2 linked regions of the Pelodiscus sinensis genome follow. The protein of the gene in region 1 binds, or shares a complex with, the protein of each later gene. Links are inferred from orthologs where the notes say so. Each region holds a gene or a part of one and is shown on either strand. Other genes may lie near its edges. The genes, in order: OGDH and TCAIM.

Evidence for each region.
Region 2: the proteins of OGDH (region 1) and TCAIM are in contact, whole or in part, in a cryo-EM structure (PDB 8I0K), measured with the Homo sapiens proteins. The link is inferred for Pelodiscus sinensis from reciprocal best matches to the Homo sapiens genes OGDH and TCAIM. Residues at the interface, in NP_001425937.1 of Homo sapiens: Gly301, Tyr304, Arg323, Tyr354, Arg356, Ile358, Arg364, Asn365, Lys387, Glu391, Tyr394, Cys395, Gly396, Thr398, Glu399, Lys401, Lys402, Lys561, Met602, Pro605, Glu667, Gly668, Ile669, Asn709, Met734, Ala735, Ser736, Pro737, Asn738, Gln772; in NP_001269842.1 of Homo sapiens: Glu214, Gln234, Arg235, Ser236, Trp237, Gly238, His241, Ser244, His247, Ser248, Arg251, Gln255, Asp272, Arg273, Thr286, Met287, Asp288, Val289, His290, His291, Glu331, Leu332, Gln333, Pro334, Val335, Arg375, Tyr376, Glu441, Ser443, His473.

The regions. Positions count from the first base shown.
Region 1 is NC_134738.1:4,938,834-4,948,731, forward strand, and holds the start of OGDH (2-oxoglutarate dehydrogenase complex component E1), read right to left. Parts: upstream 4,174-9,898; 5' UTR 4,054-4,173; coding exon 4,045-4,053; intron 2,561-4,044; coding exon 2,312-2,560; intron 1-2,311. UniProt on the Homo sapiens protein: 2-oxoglutarate dehydrogenase (E1o) component of the 2-oxoglutarate dehydrogenase complex (OGDHC). Participates in the first step, rate limiting for the overall conversion of 2-oxoglutarate to succinyl-CoA and CO(2) catalyzed by the whole OGDHC.
Region 2 is NC_134712.1:183,343,574-183,352,447, forward strand, and holds the start of TCAIM (T-cell activation inhibitor, mitochondrial), read left to right. Parts: upstream 1-5,325; 5' UTR 5,326-5,448; intron 5,449-5,612; exon of another isoform or gene 5,613-5,924; intron 5,925-8,874. UniProt on the Homo sapiens protein: May regulate T-cell apoptosis.

The sequences.
Region 1 (9,898 bases):
CTCCTGGGGCCCATTCGCCTCCGAGTCAGTACCTGCCAGGGTTGCGGGCATGCTCTTGCCTCCCTGGTGATGGCAGCTGCTGGCTCTGTCTCTGGGTCAGGCACGGGCAGCACCTCTGGTCTCAGCTGCTGCAGAAACACCGGCCTGGCCTGGTCTACTCCCTCATCCTGCGGTGTCCTTGGCTGCAGGGCTCCCTCTGCTTTTATACCCAGCCTCTACTGGAAACATGCCCAGCAGGGCTGGAGGGGCGGGGCTTTCTCCACCAGCTGGGCCTTGACTACCCCTTGTCCATCAGTGCGGGGCCTGTCCGCCTCGTCACAGTTGGACATTAGGAAAAAGTTCCTGTCAGGGTGATCAAGCATTGGAATAAATTGCCTGGGGTGGTTGCGGAATCTCCATCTCCAGAGATATTTAAGAGCAGGTTAGATAAATGTCTATCAGGGATGGTCTAGACAGTACTGGGTCCTGCCATGAGGGCAGGGAACTGGACTCGATGACCTCTCGAGGTCCCTTCTAGTCCTAGTATTCTATGATTCTAGTGCCAAATGCACATAAATCAAACTCACCTAGTTTTGTTCTTTGAGTGAAGTGCTTTGTATGTCAATAATTAAACACAAAAGGCCTTGATGGGGACCAGTTGTGTATTTTGATGCCCCACCCCCACAACACTAGGAAAAACACCCCTTGTGAAAACAAAAACAAAAAAACAAAAAACCACACAAACCCCCCTTTTATTTATTTACAAAATTTGACTTTCCATCCATCCTAGAGCTCTTCTGCTAAGGATCATCTCAAAGACAGATAGTGCTATGTAGTCTGGCTGCATGAGACCACTCCTAGAATGTCACAGGTATTTAGCATGACATGCATGTCTGGGGAGGGCAGATGTGCTATCAAAAGCACAGTTATGAAAAAGAGAACAGAGTGAGTGAGTTCTGGTCTGCAGGACGTCTGTTCTGGGGTTACAGTATGCTGACCAGGAATTGAAGTCCTGTTCTGTTACTTTGCACCTCAGGTCACACAGCGCAATCTATACAAGTTCCCATAGCACTGGGGGATCTGAATTATGTAGAACTCTCTCTGCAGGTGTCCGAAGCAGGACATTTTCAGAAATCCTGTTCTCTACACACAGTGCAAGGTCTCAGTTCATAGCCTCTCCAAAGCTTGCCCAGAGATGAGACGGGAAAGCAGCTAAGTCTACAATTCCGCAAGCTTCCCTTAGACATGAGGCTGAAGATCACCTCCTGGCCCCACCAAGCATTCCTTCCTAGTGGAGGTTTTTAATTTCACCCTCTAACTGTAAGACTGTCTAGTGTACAGCAATAGCAGAGCTAGTTCAATGTCTATTATTAACTTCATACAGTTACTCCTCAGACTTCCAGTGACACTTTGCTTGGTAATGGCTCCTGGCAATTACTAGCCAACAGACTACTTCCTGTGGTCCAAATTCAGCCCCGCTAAGAGGGATTTATGAGACAATTATGCTAAACAGAGCTGCACGCGTTTGTATAGGGTTGAATACTGTACTGAAACTTGTAAACTTAATCTACCACGGACCATGGCCAAAGTGATTGTGTGTGATGGCCATTAACCCAACACATGCATGTTAGTGACAGATTTCAAGGTGGTATGCTATCGGATACCAGCTCTGGATAGACTAAAGCTCACTAGAATTTTACACTTGTAACCCTTAGAATAATTATCTTCTGAAGTTAGTAGCTTGAGGAAAAGTTAAGGAATGGCTGGTAGAAAGAGCTCTGCTAACCACAGCAGAGGATTTTATACCCACATTTCTGCCACCCAAGTGGTGTTGGAAGAACGACTCTGCAGCAGAGCCAGCATACTTACTCACAGGAGATCAAACACTGCCGCGCTGAGCACAATTTGCATCCCACATTAATAGTGGAATGCACAGAACTTGAACCCAATTCCCTCCTCCCTGCTCTCCCAACACTCCATCAGAAAGGAAAAGCAGCAGCTCAGCAAGAGGGGGATTCCCAGGAAAGGCAGCTCTTCTCTTTGAATCCACCTTTGATTCCCAAAGCAGAACATGCCGAGTTGACTGAATGCTCTGAGCTTCTCGGATTCAATCCAGAACGAAGCAGGATCGAATTGTTTTGCTATTGCTCAATTAAACACTGTTGGTTCTTTCCACAGAAGCGGACGTGGAACTGATGATTCGTGATTCCCAGGCTCTTTGCGCTGAATTCCTTCCGGACATCTGCACTTACCTGACTGTGCCATTGGACTCTCTCTCACACACATGCAGGAGATGAAGGAACAATATCCTGGACGAATGGCTCCTCCTTACCTTATGTACACTTTTGGGATTTTCCAGCCACGCATAGTACATTTCCTCCACATAGTTCGAACTAGTCCCACTCAGAAACGGCTCAGCAGCCACAGGCGCACTGTAACACCTGATTTGCTGGAACGTCCTTGGTGCTGCTGGCTTGTGTTGGGAAATTGTCTTAACAGTCTGTGAGGCCGTCAACGGCCTCAATTTAGCAGCACAAGTCCTTAAGTGAAACATTTTTGTCCTGTAGCCGCTCACAAGCTCCTGTTGGTATAGGAATAAGAAGCATTTTAGACATTGAACTGTTTTGCAATTTACAAAGAGAAATCAACCCAATAACCATCTAGCTGTTACTTAGCATTTCTCATCCACAGATCTCAAAGCCCTTCTCAAACATTGTTTCCCCATCTGTAAAATGGAGATTGAGACTGGAATCAGAGTCACTCAGCAGAGCGGAGCCAGTAACAGGTTTCCCATGTCCTAGAGCAACGCTCCATCCAGGAGGCCACGCTGCCCCTCCTCCAGTCAGATTTCTCATTTGGCTACTTGAAACCAATAGCTTAGTATGGGTATTGGCACTGCACAACTACTGAATTAAGATATGGACTAGTATCCCTTTGGGTTAATCCCCTCCACTCCCCAATAGGGATGTTAACAAACACGTGCGTAAACATGTAACCACTGGATTTTTTTTAATTGTTACACATTTACATGTGGGGTAGACGGGGGGAGAAGCACTCTCTCCTGCCTACCCCAGGCAGTTCTGGGGGAGCCAATACATGGGGGGAGCCACCAGCAACCTGGGGGCGAGGGGCATGTAGTCATCAGCAGGGCTCACCAAACCGCGGCGAGCCCAGCTCACCAGCTGCGCTGTCCAGCGATCTGCGCATGCGCAGAACGCCCGAACCCAGCTCTTCCGGGTTACCATCTACTCGCCACAGGCAAGTAGATTGTATTATTTGTCGAGCCCTGGTCATTAGAATTAACAGATAAGACCAGGCTTATCAATCAATCAAATCATTTAAATGATTACACACTAACATCCCTTCCCATACTGACTGGCTGCAATTGGCTGGGGAGTAGGGAACTAAAGCAGAAAGTGAAATCCAACCCTAACAGCAACTTTTTCTCCCCTATTTTGCTTTCAGTTTACATCACCTAAAACTGAAGTTTAATATATCAACTTGTAAGCTTTACATTTATCAAGCAGTACTCCATTGTGAACAGATGTTCGTTTTTCTGACAACCGCTGATAAAATGAGAAAGGTCTGATCATTTATACCTCTTGGGGCACAGGAATAAAGGAGGGAACACTAGGCTGTAAATGTGATCAGAGAAAGCTGGTCAGTAGGCTGCGGACAAAGAGCATCAGAAGCAAAGCTAGAGGAGAGGTAGGAATGATTAAAAGCAAAGGGGATGTTGGGAAAATGGATTTACTGACAGGGAAGGCACCCCAAGAGAGCGTAATTGCAACTCACTGGAAGCAGTGGAGGCAAAATGCTGAGACTGCCACTCAGCAGCACTTCTGCTGAACTTTGTTCCCATTCCCACCTCCCTGCAGTTCTCTTAGTGTCCACATTGCTCACTCCCAAACACGCGGGGCAGGGAAAGAGTTGCCCTTGCGTGCAGCGCAACATATGCAGGCATTTTACAACATGTGCGCCATTCCTCCTAGTGCACTAGGAAGAGGTCATTAAGCCATCAGAGTAAAATTATCAGCTATTATGCAAAATTAAAACGTAACATACAAGAAGCATATCTTCTTGGATTTGCTGTCCAACTAAACGCGAGAGACGCGGGTTCCAGGAAAGGCCCTATTTCCCTTTAAAGAGTGGAGGGCTGGGATTCCGAGGCTATGTCTTCACTGGAAAAAAAATAGGTGACATCTGACCATCTCAATGCTAAATCCCTGTGGACACAAACCAAAAGTACCTTACTGCAGACAGATGAAGGAGACCACAAGTAGCCACCTTGCTGTAAAAGTTCCCCATACCTTGTCTCCACTAAGAACTTACAGCAAGACAACTATCTCAAAACTAATGCAAGGTTTTTGCAGTGAAGACCTAGCCTTAGTGAATCAGACTCCTAAAGCTATCTTATGGCTAATGCCTGTTTATTCGGCTGAGACAGTACAGGCAGTCCCCAGGTTACATGGATCCGACTTGCATCGGATCCCTACTTACAAACGGGGTGAGGCAACCCCGCACTAGCTGCTTCCCCCCAGCAGACCAGGGAGACGCGAAGCTAGCGCCCCCCCCCAGCAGACCAGGGAGACGCGGAGCGGCTTTTCTCAGCAGACACCTCAGCTTGAGAATAAAGGACTGAGGGAAGTGAGGTGTGGGAGAATAAAACTGAGCTCTGGAGAAATGTTTGGCTAGAGTTTCCCCTACAATATGTACCAGTTCCAACTTACATACAAATTCAACTTAAGAGCAAACCTACAGTCCCGATCTTGTACGTAACCCGGGGACTGCCTGTACTGTAATTGAGTCAATTAAAAAAAAGCTTCAAATAATTTCTTGTCCTTCTGCCAATTCCTGTGCTTTTTAGTTGTTTTTTCCTATTTAAAAAAAGGAAAATTTTCCAATGGAAGTGGAACATCTGAAAATCTGGCCCTTACACCTCTGCTCCCCTTCCCAGCTATTCCTATTAACATTTCAAATCTAGTCCTTGAGATGAACACTGACTCCCCTTTAAAAACAAAAAGAAATGTCAGTGACAGTGCACAAGCTATTGGTGCAGCTACATGCCGTCATAACACACAGAATACTTACGGATCAGTCTGTCAGCAGAGCAGCCGTCACCAGGCCATACAATACCCAGCAGTTTGTCTCTTTTAAAAGCCCTAGGACAGTGGCATGTGAGCTGGAGGCTACTTCCAGAATTGGTACACTGGCTGGGGAGAGGGTTTCGGCCTTTCGTTTACAAAACATTTACTTAAAAACACAAACAAGTTTGTTCAGTGAGAGCCCACTAAGTGGACATAAAAAGCCCCTATCCCCAGCTGAGAACTGGCAGGGTCTGTTTGGCAGCTGGATCACGGGGTTCAATGTTACATTTTCTCCAGCAACCTCATGTGAAGATGGCACAACCCTCCTTCATAAGCAAAAACCGCAAGAAAACAACTTTGGTTACATAAACCCAGCTTGGAAACATTTTCCATTACCCCCTTTCCTATTTAATAGGCACTGGCTGAGAGTTGCTGGCTGGGAGTTGCAACTGGTTAACTAGGACAGCACTTTTCTTCCAGCTACAATTTTATTGCATTGCTCACCGAGCTGCCATGGTGCTTTTGGGCCAGAATTCAATGGAGTGCTACAGGCTGCACCTCTAGTCTGGATTTCCCTCACCCGGAGACCATCTCTGGCCTGACATCCCCATGGGTGCTCCTGGGCTGGAACCCTCATGAGGAAAAGCTGAGGCCCAATGCTCAGCTGTTCCTCCCGTCCTCCCAAAAGCTTCCGGAGCTGGAAAAGTGGGGACAGGAGGCAAGACGCCCAGGAGAAGGCTACACTGCCACCCCGTCTCTTCTGCCGAGCACCCTCCACCCAGTCCCTGCTCAGTCAATGCCAGCCCCTCTGCTGCCATCAAGCAGATCCCTGCAGCCAGGGCAGCAGAGGGGCCGGCACTGACTGCCCCTGGTCCAGGACCCGTCAGATCTCCAGGGTGCCAGACCAAGGAGGGACAATCTGGAGTAGAGAAGTATAGTGCCTTCCTTGCTGTGCACTCAAAGCCCTTCACAGCACTACACTGTGACTTCACTAAGGGAAAAGGTACGTTCTTAACAGGTGGTAAAATCCTGGAGAAGATAACTATGCTGCAGTTTCCCACATGACTTTGTACATCAAGGTAAAAGCCCTAAGGTCCCTCCAAGTCTATGGCTGTGTCTTACCTTCAGCAAGATAACATACCCTAACCTGCTGCTCCACCCCCTTTTTGGCAGCGAAAACATAGCCCTTAAATCAGGAGTGGGGAGCCTCCGGTTCGGGCTGGTCAGGGTTAGCTGCTGGGGGCTGCAAGGCAGTTTGCTTACTGAGTGTCTGCAGGCATGCTACTCACAGCTCCCAGGGGCTGTGGTTTGCTGCTCCCGGCCAATGGAAGCTGTGGGAATCAGGGAACCTCCGGTACACTACTACCCACTTTAAATCAACCTGCTAACTTGTACAAAAAACTACCCACTGCCTCGTCATCACTAGGATTCTACCTCTTGGTAGTTACCATTCAGAGAGGCTTATGGACCAACTTTTCATGGAGTAATCTAATTCTGGTGTCCAACTGGAGACATTTGGGACATGACTTTCAAAGATGCTGAGAACAATGACTGTTGAGAACTCAACACCTGCAAAAGTTGAGTCTAAGCATTCTAATTAGCGCTCATCTGGGTAACAAGCTTGTTGCGTGTGCGAGGCCTTTGCACAATTCCATAGCAAATGCTCTGGCTAAAAAACTGGCCAGTAACTATTAGTCTATTGACTTTCCCAGGTTTAGGGCTAACTGAAGGAACAGATTCTCTTAGAGGAGGTAGGAGAGTTTGGTCATCCATGGCTTCACTGAACAGAGGTGTTCAAGTTTCAGAGAACATTTGTTAAAATTCATTTGGTCTTTCCAACCTTCATTTCTTTTGAAGTCTAAGCTATTGCTCCAGTTTCTAGAGGAACATCAGAAAGCTCTTTCCAACAGATCTGTGACAGAGACAATTCACAAATAGGGCATCTTTTATTGATTCCTTCTTGGGCTACAGCTGTGCATACAATTGTTAAAAGTGTTTATTAACATCTGACTTGTGTATAATTACTGCTACCATCACAAATACCAGTGATCTTATTTCTGTTAGTCTTTTCCTTAAGTCTGTAAACCAACATCTTGTCAGATCTCGACAGACTCCCAGTGGTTTTGCATCAAAACAGAAGCAAACAAACACTCAGTCTTTTGGGATGCAAGTCTGTTGATTTCATATCTTAGGATTGATAGGGATTCTGAGTGTCTCCCTGAATGAGACAGAAAAACAATAGCTATTTTTAGTAACTCCAAGCATAGGCACTTTTATTTGGAACAAGAGTGCCTTGGCTCCTGTTTAGCTTAATCTACTTTCAATGGGATCGGAGAACTTTTGCTCCAAAGTAAGTGTCGATGGGTAGAGATTTTCAGGAATAACCCTATGTACACAAGCCACTATTAGGCTCCTAAGAGATGAAGTGTCAAAAAAGTATTAGTGGTAAATATTTTAAAAGTTTTGGCTTAGAACTGATCTGCCCAATTCCAAATAAAGTGCTTTGGCTTGTCTATACTCAGAAGCTGCACAGGTTTAATATGAATCAGTTTAGTTACACCTTACAGCCTGTCTGGGGAGACTCATATTGGTTTATATTTAGATACATTAATTTAGCCTATGCTTGTAAATGTGCCGATATAAAGTAAACCGATGAGAGTTCAGATACAAAGCTGAACCAGTTTAACTAAAACAGTATTCAAATGTATTGATCACATGTACAGCTGTGTTGACAAGGAAGCATTAAAGCTGGACTCAAACTCAGAAATTCCTCAATTCCCTGTTTTTAGTTGTTTTCACTGAAAGATCAGTGACTACAAATATTCAGAATAAACCCAGTATTCAAACTATACAAAGACAGACCATTAAACACTGTAGATTAAGCTACTTAATTTGGCCTCAAACCAGCCAGAAGAGTCAATAAAACTTGTCACAGAAGACAGACTGGGAATCACTTTTTGCTTAAGCAAGGACCAAGCCAAACAAACAGAGGATTAAGAGAATGAATGTCTGATTAAAGGAAAAATTAGGCTGCTAAACTGGTGAAGTGAACCCTACACATATAAGCATAAGTAATAAACTAAACAAGTCTTGAACTATCTGAGTTTAGCTAATTTTGTTAAATGCTATTAGACTGCTAAATGTAGTTTTTAATACTAACAACACAGGTCCCTTACTTTAGGTGACCAAATGATTAAAGTAGTGGGTTTTTTTTTGGTTTTTTTAAGTCTTAAGAACTATTATTTGCCCTTTTTTGCTGCCAGGGGCCTAGCATATCTGAGTATGTTTAACATTACTGCTGTAGAGTGTTATTTTATTTTTAAAGAAGGTGTGTGCTTATTCAAGGTCACCTCAAACAAAATAAATCTCTGTAACTGTTCCACCAGAAGCTGTAACAACTAGCACTATCAAAACATACAGGAAATGGAAAGAGTTCTCCATCCGCTCAGTGAGGGCTGAAAATTCATTTGGAGTTTAAAAAAAAGTTAAAATCAGATGATTATGAACTACTTTTTTGCAATAAGTCAGTTAATTCATGTTTCCAATAACTGAAATCCTGACGCACACATTCAGCCCAACTCCACTAAACAAACTGATCCAGACGTGAAGGGACAGCAGTTTCTCAACAAAGCTACAAAACACATTATCAGTTTGTTTAACCTTAAACTGTTCAATAGTGCCTATTTGAAACAGAAAGATTCCTGGCATGAAGATTTACACATAGGACTAAGAACGTAAAAATGGAGCAAAAAAATCTTCAGCCCCCTTCAAAATATTGAAAAATTTTCCACGGAACATTCTGTCTAAATGAGGTTCCTGATCACTTGTATCCTATAGCAGGTGTAGGCAAAAATACAGCCCATGTGCAAGATTCAACTTTATTAAAAGGCAAAGCAAGCATATGCTATTCTGTTTACACTACTGGAAGTTCCATTCTCCCCGCCATCCCCACATGTCCATCTTTGTGGAAGGCATTTCTGACGGCTTGCCTCCGGATATGCCTTCACACTACAAGTTAACCCCGTGGTCACCAACCAGTAGATCGCGAGCTACTGGTAGATCCCAGGGGCTCTAAGAGTAGCTCTTGAGCCCTCTCTGAACTGCGCACCTGCGCAGCACATTTACATTAGATTTCCACATGTAATGGAGGCGGGGCTTCAAGGAAGGGGCGGGGCAGTAGAGCTTCTCCTGTTCTGAGACTTAAAAAGTGATCTTGGGTGTAAAAAGGTTGGAGACCACTGAGTTAACCCATGCTCCTATTTAACTCCAATGCTGACAGTCTAGCAATATCAACCCACAATTCTCTCAGAGGTACATTTTCCTGTCTTCTACCCATTCCCTGCTTCCACACAAGCACTCTCACCTGAGAGTCTGAAGACAACAGTTTGGCGCTTAAACCCATTCCACACAGCCCACTACACTGCGCTCTTTCAGAGGGGTGGTGGGGGCTGCTTTTAGTTGGCTCCTTGAGCATACCGGCCCTCCTGGAGCTGCCTATAACCATGCAATGGCTGAAGTTTTCAGCAGTTACATGGATTACTGAAGTGGATTTGCACATCCCTAGTATGAATACTTCTCACGCCAACGCCACAGTTCAGCGATCTGAGCCAATTAAATCGGATCTTCCCCATTCGAATCCCCTTTTCCAACCCTCGCTGCAAACTGTGGCTATGACTGAGGCCAGGTCTAGACTGCAGCCCAGCCAAGCGGCTCGGGAGCGTGAACACCTCGCACCCCGCCCCAGCACGCACAGCCCTCGCCCCGCCAGAGCGGCCCCGGCCCCGCTACAGGCAGCACCCAGACGGGCTGGACCCGCGAGGCGCTTGGGACCC
Region 2 (8,874 bases), on another chromosome or scaffold:
TCAAACATAGCTAGACACATGTATTGTTGGAGAAATTCCTGTAAGAAAACTTCTGCTTAAATTACATGGAACATAAGCATATAGACCAAAAGTCGTTTATTCGGGACTCTTTTATGGTTTTGAAAAATCTTGTTTGACAATGTGGTGAGTGGTCTTTTCCCTGACCTAGACACCTCTTTATTTTAACTGATAATGGGCATGCACTGATTATTTGCAGTTCTGATGTTTTCAGTGTGAGACATCTATCCTTTCGTGGATTTACAGCTGGGGTGGAGAACCTCAGGTCCAGGGGGATGCTTATCTGGATCCGGCTCCTGAGGCTCAGGGTGCCCCTCCTAGCACTGGGGAGCCCGCGCCTACTGAGGGACTGGGACTGGAGCACACAAAATCTACTAGCCTGGACCCCACTAAGTTCTGGTGTGCAAGGGGAATGTGGGAAGTGTCTTTCTCCTTCTCAGTTAGGGGCCATGTCAGTGAGGGTTTGGGTGGGGTGGGGTGGGGGTTTCTCACTTGTGCAACCACTGACTGATTTTTTTGTGGTTTTCAGTGGGCCCCTTGATCCAAAAAAGGTTCCCCACTCCTGATTTACAGCATATATTTTAACCTCCTGTTAATTTTTAACTGCTTCAACCTCATATTCACAAGTTTATCAAATAAAATGCAATCTAGTTCAGCTTCAGAAGTAATTTTAGATAACCTGCTCTAATTAAAGGCTTAGTAGTTTCCTACATAAAAAAATAGATCCTCTCCTACCTGTATCTCTAGGCAAAGTCCAGAAAGACCTGGAAGATGCAGAGCAACGGCCAAAGACAGTGGGAATAAAATAGCATTGAATGGTCATGAAATTTCAGAAACAGAGGGAACTCTATACACAATAGCTCAACTATCTCAATCCTCCCCCATCATAGGTTGTTGCTAAAGTTAGTTCCCTTATGTTAGATATCCCCTTGCATTTTAATTGGGCACATTATGGATAGGACTTTCTAGAATAATGCCTTTTTCACTGCTTGATAACTTTTGAACTAATAAAGTACTCAGAGGCAATGTTCCCTCTAATTTTTTCCATGCATGTTCAGAATAAATGTTATATGCACCAACACATGTTCAAATGTGCACCAGCAGGAGAAACACAAACCCAGCTGTAAGTGCTCTGCTAATGAGCAGGGTGGCATTGGAATCTCTGCTGAGTGGGCACACAAGTGCACACTTACAAGGAACACTGGAATATGGCACCTCTGAGCAGACACACTTCTCTTAATACAGATGAATGATCCCTTTTAATTCCCAACCAATCTTGTTCAGTGAGGTTAATGATCTTTGGCCTCTCTATGGTCATAAACAGGGCTCGCCGAAGTGCGGCAAGCCCTGCTTGCCAGCCGCGCTGTCCGGCGATCTGCACATGCACAGATCACCCGAACCCAGCTCTTCTGGGTTGCAATCTACTCGTCATGGGTGAGTAGTTTGCATTATTTGTAGAACCCTGGTCATAAATATTTTTTAGATGGGACACAGTGTTATACTTGTGTAATAGAACTAGCATAATCTTAGGGGGATAAGGCAATATGTTGAGTTTATTGTGGAGGCATAATTAATTTATTATCCATAGCTACTAAAATTATTCATCACACACACAGTTCTACAGATGGGATATAATTACCAGTCTCAGTTGCTCATATTATGCCATTGGCCAAGTGGTCTAGACCAGTGTTTTTCAACTAGTGGTTCAAGTACCTTCAGGGGTACTCAAGAGAAGTCTGGGAGGTACATCAACACAACTGAAATGTGAAGAAAACTGAATTTTTGTTCTAAGTTTTACAGTGTTTTATTATTTTTCTACTTTTTACACCCAAAAATTTCATCACCCACCTGACTACAATTAAGTTGTTTAAACAAATGAGTTGTAATGGTAGAAAAAATTGTGTGTGTCTGAAAACTGTAGGTACTGGGGGTACTTATATATATTTTTATTTTATTTTATTTTGAAAAGGGGTACTTTATTAAAAAAGGTTGAGAAATACTGGCCTAGACATCAGGAGGCAAGCCAGGTCGTGTCAGTGTGCACTGATGCTTCTAGAGGATGATTATAGAACTGAATGACCCAATTCTGGTTTTGCACCCACCGTTATATATTTTAGTCCATAAAGCCTGTCCTGTCCCACTGCCTCAGGACACTGTGGCTATGTCTACACTCGTGGCTTCTTGCACGAGAAATATACAAATGAGGCTAAGCGTGGAATATTGCCGAGCCTCATTTGCATACCTAATGAGCTGCCATTTTTGCAGAAGAGGCTCTTGCGCCAGAAGGAGCTGTCTACACTGCTCCTTCTTGCGCAACTAAAACCCTCTTGCACAATGCCGTTCTTCCTGAAAAGTAATCAGCATAATGGCATTGCGCAAGAGGGTTTTTGTTGCGCAAGAAGGGGCAGTGTAGACAGCTCCTTCTGACGCAAGAGTCTCTTCTGCAAAAATGGTGACTTATTAGGTATGCAAATGAGGCTTGGCGATAGTCTATGCTTAGCCTCATTGGCATATTTCTGGCCCAAGAAGCCACGAATGTAGACAGAGCCTGTGGACATGTCTACACTAGGAAATTATTTTGAAATAGCTAAATTTGAAATAATTCTCAAAATAACTCTTTTGAAATAAGCTTTTTCCCCAAGGAAAGCAGGAGTACAGATTTCAAAATAACCAGCCTATTTCAAAATAACAGGGTTGGTAGTGTGGACACTCCGCTTATTTCAAAATAACTCCCTAGTGTCGCCCAGAGCTGTATGACCATGAGTTATCAGTTGATGGCAGATGGGACATTGTCATTTCTTGATGAGGCTTTTGCCTTTTTTTTTTTTGTTCTTTTGCAGGGCCTGCCTGCATTATTCTTTGGCCCTGAGAGTGGTGCTAGCATCTGGTCATCTAGACATGCTGGCTTCTGGGACTGATTCCTTTACACGCACCCACATTCACACTTTTACAGATACACACACCTAACTTTAAACAGTGGTAAGGCAGTACAAAGTTTTAAATTGGATTTATTACAATATATAAAAAAGTTACAGTTACAGATTCTCCAAAGGCCATTCTCAACAGGTTACTAACAAATTAATCCAAATCCTATTAATAAAACTTGGGCTGCAATTCATGAGGTTACATAATCTCACATTGGTAGATATAATTTATTAAAAGGACGATTTCATTTTTCAGCCCCAAACAGGACATACTCCACTTTCCCTCTATGTGCTGTTCTCTTTTAAAAGGCTAGATTTTTATGGAGTAGTAGATGGATCTGAAATTTCTTAGCTAATATAAAGAGACACATGGTGTGGAAGTTAGTAATCAGGACATGCAAATGCATGTATTTAACTGGCAGGGAAGGCTGCAATTTTATTAATTTAATGTCTCTTTGAAGTATTATCTGTTCTCCTTCCCAAATTCTCATGTATTAGCTATTTGAACAGATTTAAAGTGGGAGGTTACAGAGTTCCCACAATATAGCCTCTCGGCCTACTCCAAGGATTTAAGTCACTCCAAAATCCTCTCACCCTCGAGTGTCCTCTCCAGTTGAACTACTGGATTCAGATTGCTTCAGTGCTGGAGCTTAGCTGTGATCAACATGCTAACTTGGCCACCGTCCAGTGTAACCAATGTGCTAGCGTGTTACAATTCCAGAGAACTAGCCTTGTTTGGAATGTCACAAAGAGGACCCTAGCAACCCTTCCATTCTAGGGATAGGAAGATCTAACCAGTTAACCTTCAAGCCTCACCCAAGGCTGAAGCAGCTTACTGCTGCAGATACAGGGCTGTTTCAGGTGTTGCTCCGGTGTCCCAGTCAGACTAGCTCTTGTCTGTGAGGCACCCTGGCCTGTCACAGACAGAGCTTTTGTCCACAGTGGGCCTGGATGCACCGCAGTCAGGGGGCTGGTCCAGGATCCTGGCCAGTACAGCCCCTGCCTGCAACGGGGTGGGAGAGAAAGGGAGGGAAGGAGTAGGGGGGGAGCACAGCAGAGTCTGCTCTGGCTGGGAGGGAAGGAGGCATTCCAGCTCAGCAGCAAGGGGGAGCATGTCCCTTATTCACCCCCTTTTAATTGGTTAACAAGTTAAACAATATGTTTAACCAGTCTGGGACTATAACAGGATTTTACATCCCTAGGACAAGCAGCTTTATAACAGTTTGGTTTCTAGCACGCTATTGCCTAAGGTCTCTAGGACTCAGAATTCTGATGCTGAGGATGTCACTGCACTATTGCTTGATTGATTACTCCTTGCATTTCCCATATTTCTCTTTGATGATAGTAGTGATTTCTCATTTTAGGAATTTTACTTTCTTGTCCTACATGCATTTAGAATGAGAAATTCTAGATAACTAGCAGCAGTGATTTAAACTCAGATTTTCAGAATGTAAATCTAGGCCAGATTTTTCTATCATCTTGCTTCTATATGCAATTATACATTTCTGTAAAGTGGATGTAAAATGCTAACATTCAAAATTACAAGATGGAAGGCAATATATCAAGAACATAGGTAACACTAGGCTTGGAAATACTATATCAGGGCTACTCAACTTTGGAAGCCCCAGGGACCTCAATGATACAGCACATGCTGAAGGCTGCAACTTAAGTGTACTTGCATGCAAATATATGCAAATCACTTTTCACACTGACAGATGAATACAAAGCACTTTCCATAATTCCCCAGCGCTCCCAGCACCTCCTCCCTGGGGAAGGGGGGGCTAGAAATGCCAACACCCTGTACCCGTCTCTTCCAGCCAGCCCCTCCGCTTGCATCTTTCAATGCTCAACCTGCCTGGGAGATGCCTCGCCATTGTTACAGATCAGCCAAGAAAAATGCTATTAGAGATTTAAACATATTTACTTTGTACAGATATACCTGTGGTGACATTTTAATGGTTAAGTTTCAAGTTTTTTTAATTTTAGCCATGTCTTTAAATACTTTGACCCTCTCCCTAGTTTCCCACAACTAAAAATTTAAATGGATTAAAATATTAAATTTTAAAAATCCATCAAAATTACCAAAATAAATTTGCCAATCCTAGGTAATAGTTATGGGCTTTATTGAGTGCCTATTACTACTGCATACAATTATATTTCGGTCCTTCACACTGAATCCCAAACACCGCTGTCGGCTATGCAAAGTGCTCAGTAACCTCTGGTTTGAAATGCTGAGACGTGCGTTTGGCTCACTAGGGCTATGGCAGCGCCTGGCAATTTCGGGGCTGACTTAAAAGGAACACAATGTGTCCCATTCGCTTGCGCGTCAACAAACAGCAACTGCTTGGGAATTGCGTTCCCCGGCAGCGCACAGTCTCGGCGAGAGAAAGCAGCGCGGGGCAGGAGGCGTTGCCAGGCCCCCGCTCCTCAAGCCCCGCAGAAGCTGCGGCAGCAGCAGGAGCGCGAGTCCCAGCCCGCGTTGCACACGCGCTGCCTTGCTCGGCAGGTAGACGCCGGCCCCTTCCGCGTGGCCCAAATCACGCGCGCTGCGCGGGGAGGAAGCCGTTCGCCAGCCTGAGCCGGGCCGCGCACCCTGGGCTTCTACGTTCTGCCGCCGCGAAACGACCTCGCTGGCGCGGGGACACGGCTGTCACGCATGCGCGGCTGCTTTGACGGTGCGGTGGGAAGTTGCGCGAGTGCGCGCGCTCCTTCTCCCTCGCGCTCGCGTGCGAGGAGGAGCGCAAGATGACGTGGCTGCACCGCGGCGCTCGAAGACGGGTCATTGCGCGAGCCGGAGGCGCCTGTTCGGGAGGTGGGAAAGTGACGGCGACGAGACCCCGCCCCTCAGGCAGCTCCTCCTCCACCCTCTCAAGTGGGGTGTCCCTGTGCCACCTTCCCCCCCTCTAACCCTCCCCCCTCGCGCGCCGCCATGGGGACCGAGCCCCGGCAGGCAGGGGGAGGGGCTGCTGTCCCGACCCTGAGGTAAGGGGCGGGGCTGTGAGTTGTGACGCGGCCTGGCGGCAGGTGCTTGTGACCCTGCCTCGCTCGGGGGAGCACTCGCGCCCCAGCTGCCGGCGGGACCATCCTTGGCCGGGAGCTGGCGGTTGAACGCGCTGACGGGCCGCGACGGGGACCGGCTTCCACGTGACGCGTTCAAAACTTCCCGCGGGATCTCGCTGCTGCTGCTGCTGCCGCCGTGAGGGGGGGGGGCGGCGGCGCATGGAGCCCCCGCCGCTTGCTGAGGCGGCCCTTTGCGCGGGGTCCGGGTTGTAGTCGCGGTGTTGTGCGGGGCCTGCCCGCAGAGAGGCTGGGGCTAGAACACGTAGTAGCCCCCTGGGAGGGCTAAGCTGTGTCTGGCGCCCTTCGCGGGTCTTGGGTTCTCTGGCCTGGCCGGGCTCTGAATACAGACCCTCCCTCTGGCTGAAACAAAACCAGGACTATGCAGCACTTTAAAGACTAACAAGATGGTTTATTAGATGATGAGCTTTCGTGGGCCAGACCCACTTCCTCAGATCAAATGGTGGAAGAAAATTGTCACAACCATATATACCAAAGGATACAATTAAAAAAAACGAACACATCTGAAATTTGATTTGTCCTTTTCATAACAGAAGAGGGATGGGGGGGGGGGAAGGTCTGTGGGCTAATGATATTAGAGGTGATAATTGGGGAAGCTATCTTTGTAATGGGTAAGGTAATTAGATTGTTTATTCAGACTCACGTGTAAAGTGTTGAATTTAAGCATGAATAACAGTTCAGAGGATTTTCTTTCAAGTGCAGTCTTAAAAGGCTTTTGAAGCAGGATGCCTCTGGCTGTAATACTTGGGGTTGGTGCTGAGGGGTGTTGGTGGCCTGTGTTATACAAGAGGTCAGGCTGGGTGGTGCCCTCTGTCCTTAAACCCTGTGGATGGTCAAGAGTCGGAAGACACTTGGCCTGTGCTGTGTTTTGGAGACCTCTCCCCTATTAGGTGTGTGCAAGCCATCAATGAACGTGCATCCTGTCCATCGGGAAGCCAGTCTAAAACTCTTCCTGTCCTGCCTCAAACAAGAGGTTTTGATTTGGAGCTGCTGTAAGATTGAGTGCATCTCAGATCTATCACATAATACAGTAAAAACTTAAAAACCAACAGATAGTTCTTCAGCACCTTGGAGACTAACAAAATGTAGATGGTATCATGAGCTTTCATGGGCACACCCCACTTCTTCAGATTAATGGAGTAAGGGGTTCAGGGTACAAAAATACATACAGTAAGCCTACCAGGTGTCTGAGGCAGCAAATGTTTAGTCACTTGTTAATGTAGATTTCAACATGGTGTATTTTACATTTTCCTATTGACAAATCAGCCCAGATTCATTCTCTCTTGCATAGAGCTAAAGATTCACATTTTAGATTTCAAACCGTTTTTTCAGTCTGGAGATAGAATTTGCTGGGTGTTTCACGAGATACTTTTAAAATGTACTCACATCTTTTTGAATGTTTTGTATTTTATACTGCACTGAATTTCCCTTAAGCAGAAAAAAGTAACACAACCAGTTCTAGTGTTGTGTTCTAACCATGGGTGTGGCTGAACACCCAGCAGGGGAAGGCAAATCCCAGCCCCATCCCATCTGCCTAAGGCTCCTTTCCCATCTTCCCCCCTCCCCACAAACTGGATCCAAGACTCCTTAGTCTCACCATCCCAGCAGTGCTGCAGTCCCAGCCCTCCTGTGTGTTGGGCACATGGGCAGTTTTGGGAAAACAACATCTTTCCTTGCCTACATTACCCGCCACTCAGGGCTCTAAACTGTGTTGTAGTTAAAATGCTTATATGAATGCTCATATGAATGTTTGTTTAGTTCATTCTGTATACATTCTTGTTGAAGTAACCATGTAGCAATCTGGCAAATTAGGGAAATCCACCCACCCTATGCTGCTGCCTCTGTTTTACATGATTACTTAACTAAACACATTTTAACATCCCTAGTTTAAGCTTCTTCAGCTTCTGCCTGTTCATTCCTACTAACATTGATATATAGTAAACTGCTGAACATTCCAGACAGCAGCTGCTGGGAAATGCTCTCAATAATCAAGTGCTCAGTTAATGTGAGGAACAATACTGACTACTTACACACTGCAGCTTCCCTTGAGTGGGGACTGCCAGTTATAGTGAACTACTTTGTGCCTTACCAAAGGAAAAAGGAGGCTATATCGGGGTAGGCAAAAGCCTTTCAGCAGGCCAAACCTAGGGCTTTGATCTGGCCTGCAGGGCAGTTCCAGGCCACAACCCCTAGCAGGTTGCTTCGGAGCAGGAGAGGGGTGCAAACCTGTCTAACTGCTTCTATTTAAAGGGTTTGTGTCTTCCTCACACCTTGCCTAGCAGCTGCAAGGAAGGCACAAGCCCTTTCAATAGAAACAGTTGAAAGGGCTTGCATCTCTGTCTCCCTAGCAACGTGCTAGAAGCATGGGGAGCTGCAAGCCCTTTCAAGCGCTTCTATTTAAAGAGGTGGCACCTTCCCTGTGCCTGTCAGGCAGCATGTTGCCTAGTAGCCGTGGGAACAGGAGAGCCCTTTAAATAGAAACAGATGAAACTGCATGGAACTCCACTCACCTCTAGCACGTTTGCCAGAGATGCCTGATCCCTTTCAGCTGTTTCTATTTTAAGGGCTCTCTTGTTCCCACAGCTGCTAGGCAATGCTGCCTGAAAAGTGCAATGAAGGCACAGGCACAAGCCCTTTAAAAGAGCTTGTGTCTCTTTCTTCGGAGCAATGCATTAGAGGCATGGGGAGCTGTGAGCTCTTTTAAGCGCTTCTATTTAAAGAGCTGGTGCCTTCCCTGGGCCCTACAGGCAGCTTGCTTAGCAGCTGTGCAGAACACTGGAGCCCTTTAAATAGAAACAGCTGAAAGGGATTGCTCATCTCTGGCAACATGTTAGAGGCATGGGAAGCTGCCAGC